2 linked regions of the Drosophila melanogaster genome follow. The protein of the gene in region 1 interacts with the protein of each later gene in a pairwise test. Each region holds a gene or a part of one and is shown on either strand. Other genes may lie near its edges. The genes, in order: CG9636 and cora.

Region 1 (5,684 bases):
GTTGCACGGGTAAGGCGGTACTTTTGCACTGCGTAGTGCGCTCCCTCCTCGGAGGTCAACTGATCCACGTACTCCTCCTTCACGAATCGATTGCTCACCGCATTGAGCGAGTCCTTGATAAAGCCAAAATGCACGATGGCATTTGGAACAAAATTCAGCTCCAGGAGCGTCTCACCGGAGGGCAGCACCTTCTTCGGTGGAATGGTGAAGAGATGGAATTGCTCACCTGGCTGAACCAAAAACTCCCGAACAAAATCCTCCACCTTGGAAAGGGGCTCGTGCGGCTTAAACATGCCCTGGAGCACGAAGCGATCGGGAAACTGAATGCGCAGCACACAGTCCTTGTACTGGTTAAGCTTAGCCAGCATGGCCTTTTGGCGCTCCAATTCCCTTAGCTTTGCTGTCAGCAAGGGAGCGTCGTCATCTCCGCTCGACGTACGCTTTAAATCACGGAGTACCATCTTCAAATCGTTGACGGTCAAGTCGAAAAATGAGTCCGGCAGGTCATTCGCATTTTTCTTGGATTCGTCCAAGGAAAAGAGTACAGCCTGGCGTGGCCCAATTATTTTCACCACTGGTGGAGCCCTGCCTGGATTCTCTTCGACTTCGTTTTCTGCCTGCTTCTGCTCGGGAGGGTGGTTCATTAAGTATCCGGAACCATTGCCCCAGTCATATTTAGGTGGTTCTGGCTGAGGCTGCTGCTCTTGATTGGATTCCCCTAAGGGCTTGGCTGGTTCGCTACCGCTGGCCTTTTCTTCAGGAGCCGTGCGTTTCAAATTCTTGATCATGTTGCTGGTAAGAGCAAATCCACCTCCTCCTCCGCTGCCACCAGCTGCCATTGCAGAGCGGGAGGTACTGGGCTGGTCGTCATTGTCCACCCGAGGCTTGACAGCGGGAGCTTTATACACATTTGCCTGGGTCTTAAGGTCCTCGGGTTTTTTGTCGATAAGACGCATCATGGCACGACCCTCGAGGATTCCTAGGGACTTAAGAGTGGTCTGTCGCATCTGCTCATGTCCTATGACCTCGCTGCGCATGTAGATGATGACGGGGCTTTCGTAAGCCTTTACATGTGTTTCGCAAAGCTTCTCGACCACCAGCCATATGGTGTCGTTGGGCGAGAAGTCCCCTTGCTGGCGGGAACCGTCGTTCAATTGGACGCAGACAAGAACGTTACTCAGTGTGCGCCGCTTTTCTGTTTGCTCCATCTCCAGGACACAGTTGTTAGGCAGGCCACTAAAACGGAACTGTTGCGTCAATCCGACCACCTTGTTGTGAAACTTGAGGCAGTGCTCCTCCGCATCGTAGCCGTGCTTGAAGCAGGCCGTCTCCAGAATCTCCAACAGCGTCATGTTCGCCGTCACGTTCACATTCTGCCGCCGACCATTGGGCAGCAGGACTGTTACGCGCTTGTCCATCGGATTGGCCACTTCCCTACAAGGATACGTATCTGTATGGCAGCTACGAGGTAGAGGCAAAAAAGACTCACCTCTATAGACTTTTAAAGAAGAGACTACGTTCCGGAACTTGCCGGTTGGAATTGGGGTTGTGGGTGTACGTCTATCGATATACCTTAAATTTGTTTACTGCTTTGCGTGACTTTCGCTTTTCCTATTTTCATTAGAGATGCGCACCGTGATTGATATCGGTTAGCAAGAGTTTAATTTCTAAATTTTTAACTTTTACGTTTATAACCGCCCAGTATAATTACTTGAAATATATTATAGTATAAAAATTAGCAAATTACCGATCGTCAATATAACTCATTAAATTCGAAGCCACTTATCGATAGACTTCTGTTCCTTATATCCCAATCGATAGGAGCAGCCTGTGTATCGGAGTATTATTGATTGCAGCAGGAAGAAGCAAAAGAAAGGCGCAGCTAGCTAAATCAAAACTATTCAAAACGGAATTTGCAATAAAACTAAATTATAATTCAGTAATACGACTGTCAGAGGACATGCTCTAAGTTCCGGGGAAGTCCCCATCTAGTGAGTTTCAGCATTTTGAGTGACGCCCTGCGTGGGAAACTTTTTGATTACCGCCGATCCAGCAAGAGACACTTCGAGAAGTCCATTTAAACTATATAGCCATTATGACCAATTTAGAGAAGCAGCACGAGATGGTGAAGCGTAGCCTGGTGCAGTTTATCAGCGGCCACATTCCGGGTGCCGACTTTAGTGTTGTGGACGAAATCGTGCTTTCGTACATTATTTCGATTTTGGAGGAGGCATCCCAGGATCCATGCTTCGATGTTGAGGGCTTTGTGGAGATGATGGGAGCCTACTTCGAGGAGTTTTCAACCATTGACCAGGGCATCATCTGTGACTGGATCTACAAGCTGGCCAATGAGCTTACCGATATGGAGAAAACCCAGGAAAACCCAGACGCCGTCAACTTATCGCTAAAGTACGTTTTCATTCTCATTCCTATGCCAGAAACATTTAATATAAAATATTTTTACAGCTCCCTGAGCCTCTCCAGCATTATTCCGGAGTCCAAGCTGCGTGCTCGCAACTCGTCAACTTCCGAAAAAGACGAGCTCTCATCGAACAGCAGCAGCAGTGGCGGCTGTGGCGGCAACAAGCGTTCCCAACATCTTTCGGAGACTAGCGATGGAGGTTCCACCGACAGCTCCAGCTCCACTTGCGACTACTTCCTGGACGAGACTGAGGTGCTCCAGGAAATGTTTCCGGATTCGGCAATAGCCGAGGTAAGTATTAGTTTATGGTGAAATTTAAAGAATTTTGTAATACTGTGTAATGAATTTAAATCCATTTCTAGATCAAACACTGCATCGCAATTTCCAAGGGGGACATCGATAGCGCCACCCAGATTCTCTTGCATCGTCAAGAGACGAACCAGTGTATTACTGACAAGTCGCATACTACTTATATGAAGAAGAATGTAATCGTCGACGATAATGAACTCAAGAATCGTATTATCGCTAGGTAAGTGTACACCTTAAAAAGCAAATAAACATAGCAGTATATTGAAGTGGATATCAACTTAAAATAGCCAAACGTAAAATATTATTTTTTTGACCCCATCTAGGTACTCCTATGTTGACAAGAATGCCACCCAGCGCGAGTACAAGCCGGTGGTACCGAAGATGGAGCCTCGCAAGCTGGTTCGCTACCGGGACAATAAGATCGTATCGCTTAAGGGCGAGCGGTACACCGAGATTAAGCGTGACGAAGATGCTGAGTTAAAAAAACCCAAGAAGCAGATTCAACCGTAACTAAAGAGGAACAAAACCCTCTTCAAGTATTTTATCAAAAAGCAAATTAATACACACCCCAATAACTTATCCGCACCCACGAAAACGATCTTCGCCAGTAGCAGTAGCTGCAGATCCAACGTCACCAACAACAGCAGCCATCCCGAAATCGAGCACAGTGTGTGCAATCATATGCATATTGTTGGGCTGAGCGCCGCCAAAAGCCATGTCAGCACCTATTCCAGCTTCACCACACCAGTGATCCCCGCCAAGCTTAGCCAATGTTTAGACGCTTCCCAAGACGATGACGATGAGCAGCGAGAGTTTAGAGACAAAGACGAGACACCGAGCACAGCGAATCGGTTCCCATATCCGAGTGAGTATGGTGCAGAGTTTGTGGCATCTGCCGGCATGTTGGTCATACTGTTGCTAGTTGGCCATTGCCACAGGACCTTGAGCCCTCATCGCGCCAATGCCCATGACAAAGACACAAAGACTTTACATACCAAATTAGTTGATAGTTATGCTTTAGGACTACTCGCTTATGCAAATTTTGAGAGCCCATCCATCGCGGCCGCCTGCTTATGAGTCTCGATGCTGGGAGCAGGCGGTTCAGACGGATCTGGACATGGATCTGTTTCCGTTGCCAGTCGTCAATTATGACGACTGGGGTCGCGCCTGCGCTGTGACTTTTCCTTAGTTCCTTACGCAAGCGAATTCAAATCGAACCGTATCTGTGAAAATCGTGAATCTCAAACTCTTGAATGTCCTCGAACAGTATTGTTAAACATACTTCAGTCCCTAGGATCAGACGCAGGTGCGACACCAAAACCGAATTTGGCGCTCAAATAGACTTATTTAGACGTTTTTAGGTACTCGAATTGATAAATTTTGTTGGCCGTGTGCGTGTTTTTGAAAAGCGCAGCTGCACAAGTAACTTGCCATATCTGTTTAAGATCTGTTAACCCATTTTGTATCGTGTAACTCGTTTTGTTTTTCTCTGGTCCAAGCTAACTAGCAAGAGTAAACTAGCAACAATGCCACCAAAGCCACATGCAACACAAACTAGTCCTCACCGCCCACTGAGATATCTGGAACCCATAACAATTCGGCTACTGCTCGGTGTAAGACAGCAATACTAACAATAATATAAACGTATTCACCATATGAACTAATCGAATAATCAACTATTTATACAGCGTAGCCTACCCCAAATCCTTCCCAATGATTGTAATGATTGTAACCTACAATATCTCGGCAGTCCCACGCCCTATTCATGTTAGATGTAAGCAACCGAAATATTTTTCGGCAGTTATTACTTTTACACTTTTTGTTTGAAACAAAAGATATTTACCCATTTTATATTTTTTTTGTAACTCAGAATTTAGCTTAAGTTTTTAATCCTGACCACCGCTTAAATTTACGTATCGAACTGCATTTAAGCACATGAGTTTTTTATATTTTTATTCAGCACCACGCTACAAATGTTTCAACCATCACATATTCGTATTTATGTTTACCTTGTTTTGGTTTGATATGCACTTCTTTTATTTTAGTTTTATTTTATATATATTAATATTATTTTTTGTGATAATTTAAAAAAGGCAAAACACTCGAATTAAACTTTTAAAATAATTAAATAAACTACTATCAATATTTAACGCATAAACATTAGAGTTTTGAACATGTGCCTAATGTTTGAAATTTGTATTCTATATTTAATGTGTTGGTACTTTTGGTAAGTAGTATAATTTAGAAATTAACTATAATTCAGAGATTCAACAGAATTATGAAAATTAGCTAAAAAGGCTTTAAGACTAGCTATATAGGCGGCACTGTTCCGATGAACTGGTTCGGTTCGTTGGCCGTACATATAAGAATTCTCAGTAGAGCAATATGGCGTTGACTTCGCGTCTGGTCACATTACTGGCATAGGTTTTTTTCGCACAACTCATAATTGTCGTGAAAATCCAGGTTTTGGCCCAAAATGACCACAATCGCGGATTTATTCACAAAGTATAATTGCACAAATTGCCAGGATGATATTCAGGGCATTCGAGTGCACTGCGCGGAGTGCGAAAACTTCGATTTGTGTCTGCAAGTAAGTAACTCACACATACACGCCGTCGAGCGACGCACGTATACATGTTGCAGTAGGGTGGTTCGCTCTTTTTGAGGTTCTAGATACTTGTATATAGATTTGTAAATAATAAAAATCAGTTATTTTAACAAAATATTCTTGAATCACCCTCTTTGGATGGTCAAACTAATGGCCATATGGCCTCAATCCTCTAAATTAACGTCACCCAGATCTTGACAAGAAAAATATTTGCTTTAACTTTTTGTTAATTTAAAGGAAATTTGTTTATTGATTTTGGTAAATAGGTAGACTATCGTAGTTAATTTAATTAAAAATTACTTCCTTACGAATTAGCAGTGTCATTTTTATTTAGTTAAATGCCAT
Region 2 (4,884 bases), on another chromosome or scaffold:
GTTGCCGCCAAGAAGAAACCAAAGAAGAAGAAACCCAAAAAGAAGAAGGCCGCTGTGCCAAATGAAAATCTGAATGTGAACAAGGCAGCTGAAAAATTCACTTACCGGCAGGGCAGAGGACCTCTTGCCCCGCCCCAAGACTCCTCGGATGATGACTACGAAGATGTGGAGGATGGCATCCGGGCCATGCACAAGGTGAAGTCCGGAAGAATAGAGAAACAGCGACCACCAACGCAGGCCACAAAAGGTGGCAAAAAAGAACTGAAACTGAAACCCGAACTGGCCCAGGCGGCTTTGGAGGCCATGGAGGCCACCAGCTCAACCACGCCGGCTGCAAACTCGTTGGCCAGTAAGCTGCAATCGGAACTCCTGGGCGGACGTTTCCGATACATCAACGAGCAGCTCTACTCGACGACCAGTCGCAAGGCGGAGGCACTTTTCCGCAAGGATAGCTCCGCCTTCGAGGCCTATCACGCTGGCTACCGCCAGCAGGTGGAGAAGTGGCCCATCAATCCGCTTAATCGCATCATCAAGACCATCAAGAAGATTCCCAAAACAGCCATAATTGGCGACTTTGGTTGCGGCGAGGGCAAATTGGCACAATCCGTGCCCAACAAGGTGTACTCCATGGACTTGGTCGCTGCTCGTAGCGACATCATTGCCTGCAACATCACGGATACTCCACTCCAAGCTCGAACTCTGGACGTGGCCGTATACTGCCTCTCACTAATGGGCACGGATCTGAACGAGTTCTTCCTGGAGGCCAATCGAGTGCTCAAGCTGCACGGCACTGTCTATATCGCGGAGATTCAGTCGCGATTCCAGGATGTGCGGGAGTTTGTGCGTTGCCTCAATGCATGTGGATTCGATCTTAACAAGAAGGATGTGGCTGTTAACTATTTCTACTTCTTCCAATTCAAGAAGATGCGTCATGTGCCCAAGAACACCAAGATGAAAGCTTTCTCTCTCAAACCTTGCTTATATCGCAAGCGATAGGATGTTATCCTATTCAGATTAGTAGATTTCCGACTTTGCGAACTGTTAAAGAAACCAAGACAGCGAATGCAATTATAGATAGTTACATTAATTTTATGTAGGAGAAACCGCAATAAATTTGGAATTCTTACAAATGTGTTTTGATCTCTTATTATTCGGTCGAAAATATACAAATTGATAATAAGGCGCGATAATTTAGCAACAAAAAAGGGCACAGATTAAAAATGTATGTCGAATACATAGCGCCTTGATATATGCGACAAAAATGTATAAAAGATAAAAAATCACTCGAATTTCCATTAGAGGTCATATAATTTTTAAAAAATTTAACGATTGAAATCGGACCATACATTTATTAAGAAAACATAGATTTATATACATTTTGTAGCGATATCAAACAGCGCTATTGCTATAAACATTTGAAAAGCAAACCGAAGCACTCAGATGAACCAACGGCATTTGCCAGCACTGCAACCACTCGGTGGTGGTTTCTCAGCAAAACTCAGTGGTCTCAACTGAAATCGACTCAAATCCAAATCGAGCAGCGGCAAGCGGATGGCTCTCAGTTTCAGTTTTCGGTTTCAGTACCAGTTTGCTCTTCGTGCACAGCACATCGAATATTTGTGAAGACGGTACGTTTTGTGTGATCGCGCTGCCAGAATTGTGAGAAGATTTGTTGTTTGGCCAGCAGCAAAGTAATTGCAAAACGGCGACGAGCGGATAGAAAAGAAAAGCGCGCAATTCGGCAGCAGTGTGTTTATAAATAAAATGGGAAATTAATTTATTAGCAACCACTATTCGCGCATTTTCCGCCCACGCCCACCCCGCTCTCTATTATACCCCTGAGCCCAACCCCCCTCACAGCACACACACCCCTTCAACTCCCACTCTTGCGTTCTCTATTACTCACTCAAAGAAACTCAACGTCAAATTTTCAACAGGTATTCAACGACGACGACGACGACAACAACAAATTGTCTTTTTTCGCGAACGAATAGAAAAAAGTGGCAAAGAATTTGTTTACTAGTGTGAAAGCGAGTGAGTGCAGTGCCCACGGGAGAAAAGTGAAAACAACACAAATACAGGAGTAAAAATCAGCCAACCGCCAAACTAACGGTAACTGCGTGTCCTTGCTGTGGATTAAAAAGGATTCTAGAGGCGTCTTAAAAGGGTGAGTACAATTTGGGGATTGCGACATAGGTTAATTACATTTTTATTCAAGTTTTTTTCTTTTGGGCTGTGGTCGGGAGTTTTTGGTGGCTTATGTTTTCGATACCAACACAAGCGCAGAATGACTTGGGCAGTATGACTTCATAGCACACACCACACACACACACACACACCCGAAAGCAGAGTTAATTGAGAGCAGCTTTGCGAGCGGGAGCGAAAAGAGAGCTCGACTCACTCACGCGGCATTTGTATCTGCGTATCTGTATCTGTGAGCTGTCAAGCTTTTCGAGTGTATCTTTTGGCACGATATTCTTATTCTTTCGACTTCTTGTTTTTGTCAACTCGGCCCACATTGTTGTTGTCGCCAGCTCTCTTTTGATTTTGCCTCTGTCTTTGCCTTACTCCAATTTTCCTTCTTCTGTGTTTTCCTCGTTTGCTTCGCATTTCGGGGCGCAGGGTGGGAAATTCTTATTGGGCCCGCGGTAGTCAAGGAAACGTTCCACAACACCGATCGGATACAAATGTATCTCAAAGGTAGTTTCGTTTAGCAGTGAACTTTAAAAAAGGGGGCAAATACTTTATATCTTTATAAAACCTACTCAGTATCGGTAAAACTACAACGTATGTATGTATATGTATCTCAAAGATACGCATGTGGAAAGGCATACAATCACTTTTGAATTCTACGCAAATTGAAAAGGTTATTCATAATGATGATTATGAATAGAAAACTTCTTAAGTGTAAATATCAATTGAGTAGAATTTATACTTTGAATTTATATTTTAAAGAAGGCCAACTACCAACCGAAAAATCAAAATTCCTAGAACTGCGCACTTTATGAAACCGATTCCTTTCATTTCCTTCTCTCGCTTAAATATAATTTTGGAATTTCGTCGCATTCATATGGCATATATAATAGTTTCATATGGCGGCTAAATTCCCCAAGCATCAAGACGTCACTGTTCCCAAAATAGAATCCATTGGGTTTGCGAGCAGGTTTCCACATTTCTTATCACAACATTGAGCGCTTTTTGCATTGGCATTTTTCATATGTTTGATATCGGCTGGGGTAAACAACGTCGGTCTTTATCCCAGCCACTAGGAAACATGGCTAAGATAAGATAAGGCCACCACAACAAAGGCCAGTTATGAATGGCAGGTGACTGGTGGCGATATTTTAGGTGTCCCCTCATCCCCCATCCACTGAGTCACGGCACGATTTTCACCATCCCCGGAAAACCTGGGGCGTTGACTTGGCAACCAAAAAACCGTTCTTCGAAAACCGCTGTTTACGTGAAGTCTTTTTTCTTCCACCTTTTCCGGGAGGTGTGGGCTTTGACCCAAATAGTAAGAAACATTAACATGTAGACTTCGTCTTCTTGGCCAGGCCATGCAAAGTGGGAATGGAAACGAACTGGCTAACATGAGGTTGAGCTTGCATTAGAAAAGAAAGAAATAAAAAAAACCGGTTGTTGCTGGCCAAGAAGTTGGCTGCACAGCAGACAAACAGATAAAGCAGCCGAGCAAAGCAAACGAGGAGTGCCAGCCAACTGAATGCCAATAACTGTACAACCAGCGAGTGGAAAACTATACTACAAAAATCTGGAGAGTGAGAGAGTTTCGGAGGGCTAACGACTTGGCAGCACGCGAATGAACATGGCTAAAAAAAAAACAAAATGAGTCGGAATCAGAGCCCCCTCGAAAACCTGAATTCGAACACGACTCCGAATTCGAGCGTTACCAACTAGGTGTGTCTTCCAGCGTTAGAAGCTCCCAGAGCGCGTCTCTCCGTATTCTCTCGGATTCTCTCGTCGGAAAACGGAGACTAAGCCCCAACCAGCGATTTTCCAGCGTGGCCAGATCGTTGTTAAGATTGGGGATCTCACCTACTATGTGTAGCACTTAATATCTTCATCTTTATGAATCCTCTTTAGAATCGCTAGCTATTCTTAGTTCACCGGAAGATTTCCACCCTCCTTCAGCGAGGTGAAAAACCAATCTAATCTTTCAACAAACTTAATCGGATGGAAGGCAGCTTTTCCAGCCCCCTTTTTAGCCAATCAGTTTCCCTCTTGCGCTCCTCCTAAATGCCCATTCGATTTTCCGTTTTCTATTTTTATTCCTTGTCGCATCGATTTTTACTTGTGCGGATGGGGCGTCTATAGGTCTATGATTAATGTGCAAAGCGCTGAAGTGGACAAAATTCTCCTCGAGGGCGGTTCGTTTGTTTACTTTCTCCGCCCTTCGCGACACTTTTTCCCTCACCTTCTGGGCAGAAATCAAAACGCGATGTGCATGTGGGTGCGGCATACCAACACAGTGAAAAATATTAACCTAAAACCACTTATTCTGTTCTACTAAATAAAATAGTTATGTTCCTTAAACCAAAAAATTGTTTCAACCCTTTTCTATATTATATATATTATTTTAAAAAGACTTGCATACGGATACAACATCTAAAATGATTTTGGTTCAGCTTATATTTTATGGTGTTGAAATAGCAGCAACTGTGGATGCATTTCAGAGTTCGTTGGCCAGGCGAAGTCAAATGCTTTAAATAGCCATTGACAGTGGAGAACTGATGGTGCCGGGTGGTGGAGCGATGGTGGTGCAGATGGCTATGTGTGGGTGTGATCCAGTGCGGTTATGTCGCCTTGTCATCCGAACGTCGATCATAGCGGTAATTAGTCAAGCGACACACTGCTCCACAGAGCCGT

The links.
Region 2: the proteins of CG9636 (region 1) and cora interact in a two-hybrid assay, tested with the Drosophila melanogaster proteins (one large-scale study listed by BioGRID).

Annotation. Positions count from the first base shown.
Region 1 is NT_033777.3:8,239,947-8,245,630, reverse strand, and holds CG9636 (uncharacterized protein), read left to right. Parts: upstream 1-1,838; 5' UTR 1,839-2,095; coding exon 2,096-2,409; intron 2,410-2,466; coding exon 2,467-2,713; intron 2,714-2,784; coding exon 2,785-2,951; intron 2,952-3,054; coding exon 3,055-3,241; 3' UTR 3,242-4,884; downstream 4,885-5,684. Other genes in the region: CG33722 (uncharacterized protein), read right to left, coding at 1-1,418; Ada2b (transcriptional adaptor 2b), read left to right, coding at 5,208-5,321.
Region 2 is NT_033778.4:19,227,487-19,232,370, forward strand, and holds the start of cora (coracle), read left to right. Parts: upstream 1-1,576; 5' UTR 1,577-1,628; intron 1,629-1,937; 5' UTR 1,938-2,167; intron 2,168-4,884. Other genes in the region: CG7137 (uncharacterized protein), read left to right, coding at 1-996. UniProt on the Drosophila melanogaster protein: An integral component of the septate junction. May play a role in cell-cell interactions that are necessary for proper development. Vital for embryonic development.